4 linked regions of the Arabidopsis thaliana genome follow. The protein of the gene in region 4 interacts with the protein of the main gene of each other region in a pairwise test. Each region holds a gene or a part of one and is shown on either strand. Other genes may lie near its edges. The genes, in order: AT3G46600, AT1G49830, TIP and LRL2.

The links.
Region 1: the proteins of LRL2 (region 4) and AT3G46600 interact in a two-hybrid assay, tested with the Arabidopsis thaliana proteins (one large-scale study listed by BioGRID).
Region 2: the proteins of LRL2 (region 4) and AT1G49830 interact in a two-hybrid assay, tested with the Arabidopsis thaliana proteins (one large-scale study listed by BioGRID).
Region 3: the proteins of LRL2 (region 4) and TIP interact in a two-hybrid assay, tested with the Arabidopsis thaliana proteins (one large-scale study listed by BioGRID).

What each region holds. Positions count from the first base shown.
Region 1 is NC_003074.8:17,156,224-17,160,487, forward strand, and holds AT3G46600 (GRAS family transcription factor), read left to right. Parts: upstream 1-1,700; 5' UTR 1,701-1,824; coding exon 1,825-3,576; 3' UTR 3,577-3,742; downstream 3,743-4,264. Other genes in the region: AT3G46610 (Pentatricopeptide repeat (PPR-like) superfamily protein), read right to left, coding at 4,001-4,264. UniProt on the Arabidopsis thaliana protein: Probable transcription factor involved in plant development.
Region 2 is NC_003070.9:18,444,558-18,448,546, forward strand, and holds AT1G49830 (basic helix-loop-helix (bHLH) DNA-binding superfamily protein), read right to left. Parts: upstream 2,216-3,989; 5' UTR 2,103-2,215; coding exon 1,833-2,102; intron 1,643-1,832; coding exon 1,541-1,642; intron 1,443-1,540; coding exon 1,377-1,442; intron 1,078-1,376; coding exon 976-1,077; intron 794-975; exon of another isoform or gene 767-793; coding exon 554-766; downstream 1-553. Other genes in the region: MTK (S-methyl-5-thioribose kinase), read left to right, coding at 1-94, 182-350.
Region 3 is NC_003076.8:8,415,841-8,420,753, reverse strand, and holds TIP (TCV-interacting protein), read left to right. Parts: upstream 1-1,677; 5' UTR 1,678-2,030; coding exon 2,031-2,208; intron 2,209-2,400; coding exon 2,401-2,681; intron 2,682-2,773; coding exon 2,774-3,031; intron 3,032-3,116; coding exon 3,117-3,575; intron 3,576-3,654; coding exon 3,655-3,834; 3' UTR 3,835-4,379; downstream 4,380-4,913.
Region 4 is NC_003075.7:15,078,601-15,083,534, forward strand, and holds LRL2 (LJRHL1-like 2), read right to left. Parts: upstream 3,176-4,934; 5' UTR 3,151-3,175; coding exon 2,710-3,150; intron 2,593-2,709; coding exon 2,452-2,592; intron 2,335-2,451; coding exon 2,269-2,334; intron 1,925-2,268; coding exon 1,859-1,924; intron 1,589-1,858; coding exon 1,532-1,588; intron 1,195-1,531; coding exon 889-1,194; 3' UTR 518-888; downstream 1-517. UniProt on the Arabidopsis thaliana protein: Transcription factor that regulates the development of root hairs. Transcription factor that regulates the development of sperm cells.

The sequences.
Region 1 (4,264 bases), on a different chromosome or scaffold from region 4:
TCCAAACTCTAGGAGTGCTGGAGAATTCAATTGTTGGATAAATTGTTACTCAAGCTGGTCTATGTTTGGTCAGTTTATGGTTCACATGTGTCCTATATTAGGAAAGAATACACAGAAGCTTGTGCTTGTGAGTGGTATGTGTGCTATGGTATTTACCTTAAATACGGGTCGTTCAGAGTAATAAGCTGGTCTCAAAGCCTCTTTTAAAGGCTATAGCCACAAACAAAGGCACAAAATCCTGGATCTCTAACCAGTAAAGAAGTCGATGTTGAACTAAAGTTCGCAAATATTTGCAGATAGCATTGAGTAGGCAAGCTCTTCCCACTTTTTTTTTTTTTTTTTTCACTGAACTGTTGCCTTTCATTGAATATTGGAGTTTGTGAAAAAATTTAAAGCAATTAGCAATAAAATCAAAAGGATATTGAAGTTTACATTTGGACCTGGACGAGATAATAGAGGATAACGTTCAATTTATTAGAAGTTATGATGACTGATATATTTACCGATTTAAAACTAATATATTTAGCAACTTGACGCAGCAAGAAAATTATGATTCTTAACTAATATACACCATATTATATATATTTAGAAGATTTAATTAATATTTAAAATTATGCTTTTTATTTGATTTTGTTTTAAATCGTCATATAATACATAAAATAAAATCAAAAAACAATTTTTTTTTATACATATATTGTGATTTTTAATTTTAAACACGGACACGTATTACCCAATTGACAAAATAATGTGTATGTTTAATGTTCCACATTGACTAAAATATTTAGACAATGATTCAGAATCATATCATATAATGAATATTTACAATAATAAAATAACTGGGTTTTTGTTGGAATGGGTTTTGCGGAACGGATTTTTGAATCTACATTAATAACAAATTAAAATATCATTAATCTGCCGTTTCAATACATATTAAATCTTTTTTTTAACACCACTAATATTATACATATCAAATCAGTCTGATTTAAAAAAATATATATAAAACCAAAATGTCTCATGGTATAATGTTACTATATAAAAATTGTAAATTATAAAATATTAATGTCTTAGAGAATTGTATAATTTTCAAACTTTTATATATAATAAATAATCATTAAATTTTAAAAATCACTACTTAAAAAAAAAAAAAAAATCAAGGGACAGGTTATACAATTAAGATTTACATCTTGTTTTTTTTTTGGAATTTTGGTGATGTGGTAACAGACTACTAAATAGTTTACGCGTATTATATGCAAAATAAATTATCAAACAAATATATTGTAGTAAATTATAAAATTTACTATATTATTATTTAAAAACTGAAATTTGCTTGTGTCTTGTAGAAAAAAAAACTGAACCAAAACAAACTTAATTTACTTCGAAGTTTTATATTTCGTTATACAAAAAGAAAAAGTCTAAATTTCTAAATACATTTAGAAAATATATTCAAGGTAATAACTAATAAGTCAAATATTTGACCAGACAAGTGACCAAAAGGAAGACAACAACAAGAAAACAAATAGCTTTTTAGCCATTTGGACCCACGACAGTAGATAAAGTCTTGGACATATTATTACTAACCTTTTGTGGCGGCTTAGTGTTTATCTTCAACCCCACACATTCTCTGTTTCCTCGAAACTTCATTTTTCTTCTTTGCCAAGACAAAGATTAAATAAGACAAATATCAACCCTATCCTTTGTTTATATCAACAACATCTCGCAACTTGTGTTCACATGAAACTTCTCACTACTCTCTTTCATTTCCTCTTTTCGTTGACTTACTAAAGTACTCTTGTTTCAATCTTCATTCTAGAGAGATTCTGTTTCATGGATGCTATTTTGCCAGTACCCGTTGATGGGTTCAGATTCGACACCGGTTCTGGATCTTGTTGCAAACCGAGGAACAATCTTGAATCTGGGACGACCAATCGTTTCACTTGTTTCAACGAATCTGAATCTCAGAGCAACCCTTCTCCGACCGAGTCTAAGGTATGTTCAGATTACCTTCCTGTCTTTAAGTACATCAATGACATGTTGATGGAAGAAGATCTTGAAGGTCAGTCTTGTATGTTGGAAGACAGTTTGGCTTTACAAGCCGCAGAGAGATCTTTCTTCGAAGTGCTTCAAGATCAAACTCCAATCTCGGGTGATCTAGAGGATGGTTCTCTTGGAAACTTCAGTTCTATAACGAGTTTGCATCAACCTGAAGTTTCAGAGGAGTCAACCAGAAGGTATCGACATAGGGATGATGATGAAGATGATGATCTTGAGAGTGGAAGGAAATCGAAGCTCCCTGCGATTTCTACGGTGGATGAGTTAGCAGAGAAGTTTGAGGAAGTGTTGTTGGTATGTCAAAAGAATGATCAGGGAGAAGCAACAGAGAAGAAAACAAGACACGTAAAAGGCTCATCGAATCGATACAAGCAGCAAAAGTCAGATCAGCCAGTAGATATGAGGAATCTTTTGATGCAATGCGCGCAAGCTGTGGCGAGTTTTGACCAGAGAAGAGCTTTTGAGAAACTGAAGGAGATAAGAGAACACTCTTCTCGCCACGGTGATGCGACTCAAAGACTTGGTTATCACTTTGCTGAGGCGCTTGAAGCTCGTATTACAGGAACCATGACTACACCAATATCTGCTACTTCTAGCAGAACATCAATGGTGGACATTTTGAAGGCGTACAAGGGATTTGTTCAGGCTTGCCCCACCTTAATAATGTGTTATTTCACTGCAAACAGAACAATCAATGAGCTTGCTTCCAAAGCAACCACACTTCACATCATTGATTTTGGGATTCTCTATGGATTTCAATGGCCTTGTCTGATACAAGCTTTGTCAAAACGTGACATCGGACCACCACTGCTCCGTGTGACTGGTATCGAGCTTCCTCAGTCAGGTTTCCGTCCATCAGAGCGGGTAGAAGAGACCGGGCGAAGACTAAAGAGGTTCTGTGACAAGTTCAATGTCCCGTTTGAGTACAGTTTCATAGCCAAGAATTGGGAGAACATAACTCTTGATGATCTGGTGATCAATAGTGGCGAGACAACAGTTGTCAACTGCATCCTCCGGCTACAATATACACCTGATGAAACCGTGTCCCTCAACTCACCGAGAGACACGGCTCTGAAACTATTCAGAGACATCAACCCTGACCTCTTTGTGTTTGCAGAGATTAACGGGACTTACAATTCACCCTTCTTCCTAACAAGGTTCAGAGAAGCTCTCTTCCATTGCTCGTCACTCTTTGACATGTATGAGACCACATTATCAGAAGACGACAATTGCAGGACACTGGTGGAGAGGGAACTAATCATAAGAGATGCAATGAGTGTGATAGCCTGTGAAGGGTCTGAGCGGTTTGCAAGGCCAGAGACCTACAAGCAATGGCAGGTTAGGATTCTAAGAGCAGGATTTAGACCAGCGAAACTAAGCAAACAGATAGTAAAGGACGGGAAAGAGATAGTGAAAGAACGTTACCACAAAGATTTTGTGATCGACAATGATAACCACTGGATGTTTCAGGGCTGGAAAGGAAGAGTCCTTTATGCTGTTTCTTGCTGGAAACCTGCTAAGAAGTAATAAAACAGTTCTGTAATCATTTGCATAATTTTGCTAGCTTTCCATTTCTTTGTTTTTGGTTTCAAAGTGTTGTAGAAACTGTTTGCTCTCATATATATTGAATGAGTCTCTCTCTTTCTCTCTACTTTCTTGCAAGTACATATGGCAAACCAAGAATTCAAAACTTATTTCAAAAAGATCCATAACTTTGAACTGAACAAACCAGTTTGCATATCAATGTGTCTGATGATAATACAGATGTTGTACGAAGATAAAAATTCACAATATAAACAGAGAGACTAGACAAACTAAAAAGAGTATTAAAGAACAAGAAAGTGATTACTTGGAAACTTTCTTCTTCCCTGTAATGGCAATTTTCTTGCCTTTAAGGGTCCTTGGATGCGCCTTACCCCACGGTAACCTTGTACAATGTGTTTTCGTCAGACTAAGGTCTATTCTTTTTGTCTGGTCGAGGACCCAAAAGATTAAGATCAATGGTGGCTCCATAAGTCTCAGCTGATTTAACAACCGCATCATATGGCTTAGAAGAGAGTTTAAGCCCTTCGTTTTGAGCCTTCACATGTAACTCATAAGCAAGCCTTGGCTTTGCATCATTTGCAAGAGCCTCAATCAACATCTCGTAAGTTATCTCGTTAGGCTCAACATTCTCACTTTTCATTCTATGAAACCACTCATAAGCCACACCACT
Region 2 (3,989 bases), on a different chromosome or scaffold from region 4:
ATAACAATACCGAGGTTTTGAAGTTTGTTCAAGAAAACTACATGAGGAATTTGTTGCATGACTCACTCGGATTCGGCGCTGCAAAGATGATTAGGTGAGAGAATCTTAGTCCATGAGATTTCTTTGTCGATCATATAAACTCAGAAACGTTGTTGACAGTGTTGGTTTGATGATATGGCAGGAGAATTGTGGGAGTGGCACATGTTGAGGACTTTGAATCAATCGAAGAAGATAAGCGAAGAGCTATTTGCGAGAGAAGTGCACTCGAGTTTGCGAAGATGCTTCTCAAGGAAAGGAGAAAGTTTAAGAGTATCGGTGAAGTTGTTTCAGCAATTCAACAACAAAGCTAAGACAATTTATAATGTTCTTCTGCTGAAGTTCTTGAAAGTCTTGTTTTGATCTTGGGAGTTAATTGGCAAGAAAAGTATCACAATGCTGCTTATCACATGGATTTGTAATTTAGTGGTTTGTGGTGGTGATGATGGTATTCAAATGCATTTTGTTACAATAATAATAATAAAAGTTTAGAAATATTTTCACTTTTGAAGATTATCTACTTATCTTTATGAGATTTGACTTCCACAATCTCTACTGGTTCACTGTTGGTGTGACTGGTGAGTGGTGACAAGATGGCAGAGGACCATAAATCAGCACCGTTAGTATTCGCCACGTGTACGGTCCAAGCTAGTGGAACAAGACATAAACCATTGCTTCTCAACTCTTTCACTTTCATCGTCGGGTTTACTTCTCCGGTGTCTTCGTCGTCCTGACGACACATCAACTATTCATCAGTCACAACACCGTCAAAATAGTAATCTTTTAAGTCTTAAAACAGTCGTTTCGAATCATGGAAAAATAAATATCTTCCGGTTTTATTGATAAAGACATAGAGTGTAACAAAAAAAGAGGATACCAAGAAAAAAGTGTAACAAAAAAATGAAATAAGATAATACAAAAGGATGATGGATGACTTACAAGAGGGTTATGTTTGAAGTAAGGGGTTGAAAGAACTTGAACTTGGTCTTGTAAGAATTTTATGTAACCCATTGTTTCATGCAACACTGATGCTGCATCTGTCTATTCAAATTTTCCAAATTACATTTTTCTTAGTTAAAATGTAGAAAGTAAACTAATTTTAATTACCAAAACACATAATGTACCTCCAAAACAGTAAAATATAGTCCGTGAATATCTCTCTACAAGTAAAGGTTTCAAGCTAATACCAAATGACGTAACTATAGTAAAAGTTTCAAGTTTACATCAAAATTTAATCACCTAGATTCAGGGTTTTGATTTTAGTTCAGTATTATGTTGATAAGAGATATATGAACCAAAAACAAAGAGAGAAGGTAACTTGTTTTAGTATATTGATCCACCTTGCCATATGGAGAAACCAAGTGCTGCAATGTTGTGATTTTTTCACCAACCTTTTCTTTCTTGACCTATTTTTATGAATAGCATTTGTTAATTACTATTATTCACCCAAATAGCTGATCCATTAGATAAGTATACATAAATATACACACTTTTAAAGCCAAACCTTAGCATTTCCAAGCGATGACTTCTTCTGATCTCGCTTGCATCTCTTACCGGGTTTTGGATCGCAAACCCGGTCGTGCCCATCAGCCGACCCGGTTTTCTTCTTCAAAACAAAGAGACAAACATTAAACAAAATAAAAATTATACATTATAATGATCTTGTGTTTGACTTGTTGCATGCACTGATGCATATACTTTTTAATGATCTTGTCACTTTACTTAATGACCTTAAAGCTTGGCTAAAATTTCAAATAATATTAACTGTAGGAATGTTTTACATATATATAACTTACATTGGATCTAAAAGATTGATCATTGACCACACAGGCGTTATTGCGTGAAGAGAGAGGGGAAGCGGGAGAGAAAGAGGGTTGTGAGAAGAGCAGATCGGTGTCGTTTTGGTTTCCTCCGCCGAAACAGAGCATTTGAGGAGCATCGTTTCCGGTGAATCTGAAACCAAAGCTGTCTTCTTCTACTTCACCGGAGCTAAGGACATCATCAGACATCATAAGAACATCAGAGAAGTTCATGACACCGTCTTCTTCGTCCGTTGTGCCTCTCATCGTAGAGTTTTTTTTTCTTTTTCTTGCTTAGGCTTGTTTGTGGAATTGACAGAGAAAGAAGAAAACAAGTGAAAAGGTGAGAAACCAGAAAAGAATAGTATCAATAAATGTATTTTAATAGTAAAAAAAGAAGATGAAAAATTGCATAATTTCAGTTATAGCAAGTAGCAACAATAGTTAACTATGATATTACATCAATGGGATAAGTTGGTAAAGGAGAAATCAGAAAAATGGTAAGGCAACTTGGCCCAAGAAAACTGTTGGTTTCTATTTACTCGAAATGATGAATTTTGTAAAACAAACTAATCAAACACAAAATGTTTACGGATAAAGATATTAAAATCCCAATAGAAAAGCTCGAGAAACTCACATTGATGTAAAACTCTCACATTTTGAATTAAAAAACATACTATTTTTTTCATTTAAAATAATAATAAAAAAGTGTGAAAACTGAAAAATTATTTTTACAAAAATAAAAAAGACAAAGATGTTTGACATGCGCGAAGAAGAGTGAGGTACGTACAGCTGCAAGACCACGCTAAATTTAGGAGGGTTGACAGAGTTGAGTAGTCCACAAGTTTAGTTTCATTTTTGGACACTTAAAAGGCTTAGGATACAAGTCGTCACTGTGTCTGTTTCATTGCTATGGTAAATTAACCAAAATAAGTAAATAACCATCCATAACTTTGACTGCTTCAGGCTGAACCAAATCAGTGTGTATGGCCTGTTTTCGTATCAATCTTTACATTAAGAGCAAGTCCATTGGGAGATCCTTAACAGTTTTTAACATAAATCCTTAAGTAATTTTGGAAAAAAATAAATCTAAAATGTGATTTAAACTTGGGATCGCACCTAATTTTAGAGTTTTTTCAGTTGTTAAGGTGCGCATACGTGGCAACTAATCATTGGTTGTGTTTTTTTGACAAAACTTTTTTTTTTCTTTTGCCGTGTTTTGTTTTTCAAATCGATTTTCCTCTCTTCTCTTCTCTTGTTAACTCCGGTGGCGATTGAGCGATTGGTGATCATCATCATCACGCGTTTATATCATCAAATTGGAAGAGATTATCGACGGAATTTGTCTCTTATCCATCGTGCTCATCATCTCAACCGACGGTGCTCAACGTCGACTAGTTTGGTGAACTTAATCGGAGAGGACTGTGAACCAAATCGGAGATGGGGTTTGTCACTTTTCGGGGTCTCTTATCTCAGTTGAAGTTGCTTTGTACCAGTGTTGTATCAAAAATTCAGAATCATTATCTTCTTTGCATCTTTTTGGAGTTATCAAGGAATCAAACCCATTTTATCATTGCAGGTAACGTGGATATATGAAGCAGATGTTTTTGGTGAATGATAAGTGCTTAACCATGATTGAACCACAGAAGAAATGGTCAAAAAGAATAGAAGAATTGATAAGTGCGTTACTTAGATTTAGGAGATCAAGCTCCACGTTTCCATATTCCCACTTTGTTAATAATGTTCTTTGTTTTTAGGATTAGTTGTCGATCCCCTTTGCTTTACTTTGTGTACTTAAAGACTGCCAAGTTATGAGAAGGAATTAGACTTGATTTGCCAAAAGAAACTTGTGTTTGTGTTGTGTGTTTACACATTCTCTTAGCTTTGAAGAGGGACCACCTAACAGGGAATCAGAGTTTTGTAAATAGAACCGTCACGGTAACGTCGAAATATTTTTTGAGTCAGAGACATTGATGAGTACATGAATCCTAATAGCTTTGTGTATAGGAATTGTCCCTCCGTAAGATGCCTTGCTCATAATTTCCTTAACCTGGTAAGTTCTTCACATTGCTTATTTCAATTGATGCTTTCTTATGGTTAGAGATCTCAAAAATTTTCATGCTTAATATTTCGAGTTCTAGTCACAATTATTTA
Region 3 (4,913 bases), on a different chromosome or scaffold from region 4:
TTTATGATTTTAAACAACGGAAAATAAAATATTTCCAGAAACTGAACTTTGAGATAGAAAGTAAACGTCTTTAGTAACTAAGTGATTGGTTGGCATGTCACCGTAAATTATTCGCTGTAAAATTTTGACCGTCAGCGTGTAAAATGCAACCGTGTATTTTATTGTTATACGTGTAGATATTAGGGATATAAAGTCTTAGAAGTAAATTTATTAGTCGTATCTTAAAATATGATTAGTAAATATTTTATAAAATATTATAGTTAACCAAACTATATAATAAACAACAACACAAATTTTGTGATGCACATATAGGTTAAATGGAATCTATATAAACATGTAAAATAGTTTATATGTTAGTCGGATAATAACTACATATTAGTTGAAAAGAATATATACATATAAATTTTTTGTTCAAATGTTGTTCAAAATTTATACATAAGTATACATTAACAAACAAAACTATACATGGTATTTATACTATTAGTATATATCCATCTAGTGCCTAGTGTACATTATATAAGCAACACATAAAAAATGATCATGAGGAAATAAAATTAAAATAAAAGAGAGATTAAATTAAAAATATAACTTATAGAACTTATAACAACATATGGTTTTAGGTTGTAGAAATATAAGATTTACGGTCACAAGATTTTTTTTTTTTCTAAAACTAATTCACAACAATTTGGTCTTCACAAAAACAATTATGGTTGTAAAAGATTACATTCCAACTAATCAAACACTATAAGAGACTATCCTCAAACTAGAAACGCAGAGGTCTAAACCCAAAAACAAAACAAAAAGCAATGACTTAGATAAACTTTGTTGGATATGGGCTTCGCCCCATTTAACATTCGGAGGCCCAAACAAAGAGTCATTGAAAACCTCAGTTAAGAATGATGAAGACCAGCCCCCCTGAGAAAGCCGCAGCCCATTGCGAGATGAGGCCCATTTTCTGGAAAGGATCAGCCGCCATAGAAGTTTCATATCGCTCAGAAAATGGTACTGTGTACTTTCATTGAAGTACTATAAATATTGACAGAGGAATGCCAGAAAAGGACACCTGAAGTCGGACGAGAATAGTACAAGAACATTCTCATTCGGATTCAAAGACATAAGCTCGACAATTGACTTGTGTAGTTTTATTCTTGTTGTATCTCTTAAAACGAGGCTTGGCTGTAAACATATCTTGTAAACGGCCGAACGTTAAGTTTAGATAAATAAGATCTTCCTTTTCGCTCGCTACTTTCTTCTCTGTTTTTGAGGTTTAGTTTTGAGTACCAACGGACTTCGATATCAAACGTTTTAAAGTTTAAACCTATTTGATTTACATTATTTGGTTTAAATAAATTGATTCAGACTTCACACGACCAAGAAAAAAAAATGGTTGAATTGGGTTCTCATCTATTGGGCTTTAACAACAAACACTATTAGTAAGATGGGCTGGCCAGTTGTGTAAACTGTTTCATATTGGTAAATCAATATGATACCAATTAAGTTTATTTAATTCTTCTTTAACTTCCGTACAACTATCACGAAGCTTCCTTTATAGCATCAACGTGTCAATATATGATTCGCTAGGTGACATCTCTCGTTCAGACATCCTCACCTTTTGACTCATATAACCCCTATTTCCGTAACTATTTTACTGCAATACTTCAGGGGTAAAATAGGTATTTACATTCTGTTTTGCCTTTTACGCGTAACGAACGTGGTTTTGTGTTTTATGACTTTCTGGGAAACAGTGGTACGCCTATCCACGCGCCACTTTTTCATCTCTTTGTCTTTGATATCTCTCTTGTCTGACCAAATCGTGTCACATCTCCTTCTTCTCCACTTTACCAAATCGTGTCAAATTTTAGGGTTTTTTCTTTTCGTACTTCATCAAATTCTGGAATCTGGTTTTTTCTTAGTTTTCTTCTATATACCTTTGAATCGCATCTTTGATCCAAATTCATTTTAGATATCACCTTGAAGTCGAATTTGTGATTTTTTCTTTTCCTCTCGAATTCTCAAAGTCTCACGCAACTATGAAAGAAGACATGGAAGTACTATCGCTCGCTTCACTACCGGTTGGGTTCAGATTTAGTCCAACGGACGAAGAGTTAGTCCGGTACTATCTCCGGCTCAAGATCAACGGTCACGATAACGACGTTAGAGTAATTCGTGAGATCGATATCTGCAAATGGGAGCCTTGGGATTTGCCTGGTAATTCCTTTCTTCATCAAATCAATTCGTTGATTCATCTTTAGCTCTTTAGTCTCGGTTTAGCAATTCCCAGGCTTCAATTCCGGTTTATGCATGTTTGAATTTGGAACAATATGATCAATAACTTCTTAGCTTAGGTAGTGGACTTAGTGAATTTGAGTAAAGATTTATACTTTAGTATTTGTGGTGTAGATTTTTCTGTGGTGAAGACAACAGACTCAGAGTGGCTCTTCTTTTGTCCTTTGGACCGGAAATATCCGAGTGGAAGTCGAATGAATAGAGCTACTGTGGCTGGATACTGGAAGGCGACGGGAAAAGACCGTAAGATCAAATCAGGAAAGACTAAGATTATAGGTGTTAAGAGGACTCTAGTGTTTTATACAGGTCGTGCTCCTAAAGGGACACGAACTTGTTGGATTATGCATGAGTATCGTGCTACTGAGAAGGATCTTGATGGAACAAAGTCTGGCCAGGTAAAAACCAACTTGGCAAATGATGGCATTAACTTGTGTGTGTAGGTCTTTTGTGTTTCTGATTGTGTTTGTTTGATTGTTTTTGGTTGCAGAATCCGTTTGTTGTTTGTAAGTTGTTTAAGAAGCAAGATATTGTGAACGGAGCTGCTGAACCAGAAGAGTCAAAGTCATGTGAAGTTGAACCAGCGGTATCGTCTCCAACTGTTGTGGACGAGGTTGAAATGTCTGAGGTATCTCCTGTTTTCCCTAAAACAGAAGAGACTAATCCTTGTGACGTCGCAGAGTCTTCTCTTGTAATCCCCAGCGAATGTCGTAGTGGATACTCTGTCCCTGAGGTTACAACCACCGGGGTAAGGATGAACAAAATACATTCTTTTCATTACAGGAGGCGGTACAACCGCTTTGTAAACTTACAAACTTCATTTTACTCAACAGCTTGACGATATCGATTGGCTCTCGTTTATGGAGTTTGATTCCCCGAAGCTGTTCTCTCCGTTGCACTCTCAGGTGCAATCTGAGCTCGGTTCCTCTTTCAATGGCTTACAATCTGAGTCTAGTGAATTGTTCAAAAACCACAATGAGGATTACATTCAGACTCAGTACGGTACAAATGATGCGGATGAATATATGTCCAAGTTCTTGGATTCTTTTCTTGACATTCCCTATGAGCCAGAACAGATCCCATATGAGCCACAGAATCTTAGCTCATGCAACAAGATCAATGATGAATCTAAGAGAGGAATTAAGATTAGAGCTCGACGAGCACAAGCCCCGGGTTGTGCTGAGCAGTTTGTAATGCAGGGCGATGCCTCAAGAAGGCTGCGTCTTCAGGTTAACCTTAACAGCCACAAGTCAGAAACTGACAGTACACAACTTCAATTTATCAAGAAAGAGGTGAGAAGAAGTTTGTTTTCATACCTTCTCATGTATTACAATTTATGATCCTTATATTTATGCGATAAAATGTATATAGGTTAAGGACACAACAACGGAAACTATGACGAAAGGATGTGGAAATTTCACAAGATCAAAGAGCAGGACTAGTTTCATATTCAAGAAAATTGCAGCCATGGGATGTTCATACAGAGGGCTTTTCAGAGTCGGTGTGGTAGCGGTTGTGTGTGTGATGTCGGTCTGCAGTCTAGTCGCATAAATCCGCTGAATGTGATGTTTGTTCCGATCAATTCATATAGTAAGAATAAAGAAAGTGGTTTTTACGGGTGGAGAGAGCGCGGATTTGTGTGTATAACAGGGGTTTTGGCCTGGTTCTGCATCTGTTGTTATTGTTGTTGTTTTTGTCGGCTTAAGCTTAACCATGGTCGGTTTAGGAGTGTAGTAGACTTGTAGTTAACATGTACGACGACTCATAATATTCAGATGGTAATGTTTGGAAATTTTTTTATTCCTGACCACATGTGTCTTGAGATTGCGTTTTTGACATTTTTAGTAGCCTTGTACAATCAGAAACAAACTACGAGTTCGAATGGTAGCACCGTAATGAAAACGGTGTCAAACATGTTAGTACGAACCGACCGGGTAGAGATATTTATTAGAGGTGTGTTTATTTCGTATATCATTAAACATGTTTAGTATGATAGGACGGTTTGATTGAGGGTATGGACTGTTAAACATGTCATTTGGGTATTTTATGGCATTAAGTATGCCCAGTAATATATTACAAAATTTTTGGACAAAAGAATGCATATTTGAATAGTTCAAATAATATGATCACCTCTCTTTTCTCTCCTTCATATCTTTTAGAGAGAGGAACTGTTGAATTCTGCCGACCGGATTATTCTGGTAAACTGCCGTCCCAAGTTTTGGGCTTTTGCCCGACATCTTTTTGGCTTTGTTAGCAAAGATGGCCGGTCCTCTTCTGGCAAATCCGGCTTCTACAAGAATAATTGTATCCTTACTACTTAATTGTATGGACCAAGAATAAAATTTCAAAATTTAGTTGTTTTCTTGATATCTGTAAAAAAAATTAAACAACACTTACAATAAGACATAGGAAGCAGTTTGTATCAATATTACTGTCGTGTTGCTTTGGAATAAAACCCAAAATACGTAAGTACCAAAACAATTATTAGACTTTTTAAATGTGTTAGCTGATATAAGTAGTATATATCAATGTTGTATCATACTTTGAATAAAACTCAAAATTATGTGTGAGTAAGAAAAGAAAATACAATTCTTTCCAATATATAAAAACATCGTAAATGCATAAAATAT
Region 4 (4,934 bases):
CATTTTTTGTACTTGAAGTCAAAACTCAAACCTCATGCCAAAGCAATAAAAAGAAGAGACTCTACAACGAAATGATATATTATATTTTCCTCTGTTTCAATTCAGACTATTTTTTTTCGATCGTGGTAGAAAACATTCTGACGGTTTGAACATGTAAACGTTTGAGGTCGTTGGTATATATGGAAATGGTTTATATCTTATATGTTTTCTCGGTCCTTGCTGTTTATTTTTGTGCTTATAAGATAAATTAAGATCATGTTATTTCGTTTATAGTAGTAGGTCATAGTAGAGGTATACCATACAAATTCACTCTACAAAACTCTTAACCACCTAAAATGATCCTGACTAGGTGTTCTAAACGTTAGATGCTACTCTAAGCCCCTGCTGCATATATAGTGATTTTCTTGAACACTACTAGGAAGATTTATATGAGATCTTACCGCTGACCACATTGGCGATTGACAATAAATTTCTTCAGTATGTGAGTATATAAAACGGTGAAATTAAGCCTGCTTAAGTGTTACATTCCTGTGTTGTGTAGATTTAGAAACTTAAGCATAACGAGTTTTAAACAAACTCTTTGGCCTAAATGATCATCATTGACGACATTTGTTAGACCAGACCGGTTCTGTGATAGAAAATTTAAGGATATAACTTTATAAACCAAAAAAAAAAAAACATGATAACATGAGTGTGCTTATGGGTGGTTTGTAGTAGGTAAAGACAGAAAACCAAAGTGTACGCAAATACGGTGTCGTATCCGAAAACACGACCTTATTCTTTCTAAACTTTGACCAAAACCACCTATCCCACTTGTCTTTGTCTTCTAAACTTTTTTCTCTCTTTCCCACCCAAAAAAGGGAAAATGAAATGGACAAATGGCCGTTATCACGGCTTGGAAACGGAGGGAGCGTCTTTAACGGTGACCAACGATGAGCCATTACCGTTAGCAACTATTGTAGTGGATAGGTTAGGAGACAAAGGAACGCCGGTATCTTTAACGAAGGGGCTACGAGAAGGACACGTGGCGGTGGAGATGGTGGTGGCTAACGAGATGGGCATGAGGCAAAGACCTTTGCCTTGTAGATATTGCATGGCTGATCCCATGTCCTCTTCCATTAGCTTTGCAACTTGGTGCTCCGTCATCTTCGCCTCGCCGGAGGAGGAGGTGTTTTCGTGGGATCCACCGGCATCCTGAAAATGTTCAATAAAATTAAAAAGAAAACAAGAAAAGCAAAACCCTAAAGCTATGATGATGTTGAAATGGGAGGTTTTGGTATTTGTTGGAGAGAAAGTAGGCACGCGTGCCCTGTCCTTGTTTTGTTTTTTTTACTATTTTTTGGAAAACTTTTTCATTTGTTTTTAGAAAGTCGAAAACAAAACTACTTTTTAATTAGTATTATTCCCTAACTAAAACCTTTTCAATAATTTACATCTCTTTTTAATTAGTTTAAAAAATAAAATCTCATTCTATATAGTGATCACGTCATCCTATCATCCCTTTTAAGAGAGAAGGAATTGAAATTATTACCTCAGAGATTTGAGAAGAAGCAGAAGCAGCACCGCCCAGTCTACTCATGCTTAGTACCTGCATACATAAATTTGCCAAATATTATAATTAAGCAAAAGAAGAGGTAGATATACACTAACACTATGTTTTAACAAACGCAAAAGATAAATAATTTACAAGATAAAAGGGAAAGGGAGCATATGGAATTTTAGTTGCAGAGGCCCATATTCGATTTCTTATTCTAATGTCAACTCAAAGGTAAAGAAGCTTCCACTCTTATAACAAAAACAAATTTAAAATTCTCATATCTTATAAAATAATTCGAGAGAGAGAGAGAGAGAGATTCACCTTGACTTGGAGCTGTAAGAACTTGACATAATCGATAATCTCATCGAGCATTGATGCTTTGTCTGTCTGTTAATTATTATTTTTAACAATAAAAAAAACCTTGTTAGCAATTCTGCATCTGTTTATTAAGTATTATTATCAATTAAATTTTAGAATTAATTAGCTAATCAGTGTTTAATCATTTGACTGCATAAAAGTCCAAATCTCTAGATAACCTACTAAACTAGTAGCAATTTGTGGTCCAAGACTAAAATACATCAGTGTAACTCATATACTTAACACATTATTCATTTTGAGATATATACTATTAAAGAAATGTAAAATACAAATTGGATTATTTGAATCTACTCTTTTAATTATATCAACTTTGATGATCGAAATTTAGACTAATGAAGATAATTAAAATTTACCTTGTTACCATTAGGGACAAGTTCTTGAAGAGATTTCATTCTTTCCGCTATCCTCTCTCTCCGTAACTGTTCCATAATTTCAAAATATTTCAATAATCACCTTAATCATCTAAATAACTTTATACGTTTTTCTCGGTAACTGAAAAGCGAATAATGAGGAAAAGTTAAATAAAAAAATCGAACCCGTTCGGCGATACTGTGAGGATCAGTGGCTTGACCTCTCCTAGCTCGGACTTTAGGCTTTGTCTGAGGTTGCGCCGTTGCACCACCGGTGGTGGCTGACGCCGTCGCCTGCGACTGCGTTTGCGTTTGACCTCCCGATCCCTAAAATATATATCAGAAAACATTAAATTAAGACTTAACAAAAGAACATGTAATGAATGTTTTCTCTTTTGTAGTAATTTGCAAAATGAGAGAGAAAAAGTGGATTATCAGTTATACTTGAGGGAGGTGGAAAGGGAGAGATCCGGTGGAGAAGCCATTGAAGAGAGCGTCATTAGGATGGTTATGTGACAAAGGAATCATAGTGATCTGGTTTCTTGAATCGGCGTCGTGGTGGTGGAATCCAGTGACGGGGGCACAATCGGAAGTTGGTGGAGGAGTGTCGTCGAGAACGGATGAGGGCCAAGGAGTGGAGGAGAAGATGTGGTGGAGGAAATCATCGTGGTCGAATGTTGCAGGAGATTGAAGATGTGGAGAAGGAGATGATGAAGGAGTTAGAAGAGACGAGGAGTTCATGGCTTCTGTTTTTTTTTTTTTTGGTGGGGAGTGAGAATGAAAATGAATGTTGTTGAAATGTCTTTTGAGGTTTAAGGCTTTATGGTGTTTAAAAGAGGGATGGAGATTGTAATATTTGAGATTTGAAGGGTTTGACTTTGACATGTTAAATACGTTTACCAAATTTACCATTTTTTTTATCATCCTTGCAAATTAATTATTTCGTGTTATTTTCATAATTTCTTGATTTTTTTAATCACTAAAAGAATTCGATCACTGAAGTCATGATTTCTTCAATTTTATAATCCTTTGTTGATAATATACTTTTCACAATTTTGTAGTAACTACAAAAAGTAAGTGAAACATATATTTCTAAAAATATCATAGTCGATCGAATGACAGGCTTAAAGTAATAAAACTAACTTAAAATTCGGTTGTACTAAAAAAAAAAAAAAAAAAAAAAAATTCGGTTGTACTAACTTCACTCAAATGATTTACGTATGTTTAATTATCTTTTTTTTTTTATTTAAGACAGAATGTGGTTCTAATACCGTATATTATTAAATTTCTATATATATAACATAGGTTTTTCTATTAATCATTTTTGAAAACTCATGTTTAAGATAATTGTATAAGATTTTCATTCGGTAACATTAAAATTGGTTTATTTGAATGCTGAATAAAATTCTTTGGATTTATGTTAAGGATGCCAACTACAAAAATAAAATAAAATACAAATCTCTATTGTTGATCTTTTTTATTAAAATCAGTCGGAGTTTTAAACTTGTCCCGGCAACTACGTACCACGAGATAAATATTTGCTAGTCCAAAAATGCAATAGTCTACAAGATAACACCAGAGCCAACACTTTTTCTTGTGACAACTATTTTAGACATATAATATTTAGACATGCAGTATAAATGCATACAATTATACTCTATTCATTTGGGTACATTCATTCATTCATCAACGGTTCATGATAATGTTCTCTTCATATATTACTGTTTACAATTTGTCCCCAAGATTACAAACATGCTATCCCTTTAGACGATACTCGTGTTCGATAAGAATAAGATCACTTTTTATAGATTATTCTTGTTTTGTTTTCTGATTAATATGATACCGATCGATGAAATTGTTGTTTTAACCGATCTGATTAACATTTGGGAAAGAGGATCCTCTCAAACGAGAACATAACATAACAGAACATCGTCATCATCATCATGTCATGTTACCATGTATTTTTTATACTTGTTAAATATTTTTTGGTCTAATAAATTCATCATTTACCTTAAAAATTCTTTTTTACCATCGTATACAGTTTTTCAGCTGTTTGATAGTATTTGATTAAGATTAATATTAAATTGACAAAGATAAGTAAAGAACATTATTATGCAATATGCATGATTAAGCACATGGGACATTCTGAGTTTTGCACAAACTCACAAGAGGTAGAGATCGGCTTTAATACACTTCCCATTTATTAATTACAAATGTTGGTAAGCATTGATGTACTACACAACAGAAAGAGAGATCTATCATCTCATGTATTAGTATTATCAAGAGAATGCAATAATTATTTTTGTTTTTACTTAATAATCATAATGTATACCAAAATAATTAACTAAGGGGGTGTAAAATAAGTTACGAATGATAATTTAAATTCCATATAGAAAAAATAAACAGATAGTAAAGACAAAAATGCTACTATGTTAAATAAACTATTGGTCCCATCTAGTATACTGATACATTAGTTTTATTTCATATTATCAGTAGTTTTTTCTATTGTTTATATAAAACAATACGTTTACAATAGGAAGGCAGGAAAATAAACCATATGGTGCACAACCATTGTAGACTCAATCCTGACAAAACCCAATAAATTTGAGGAACTCCCTCAAAAATTACGGCTTTGTTCAAATTGAAAAACTGGCTCTTACGATCTTAGT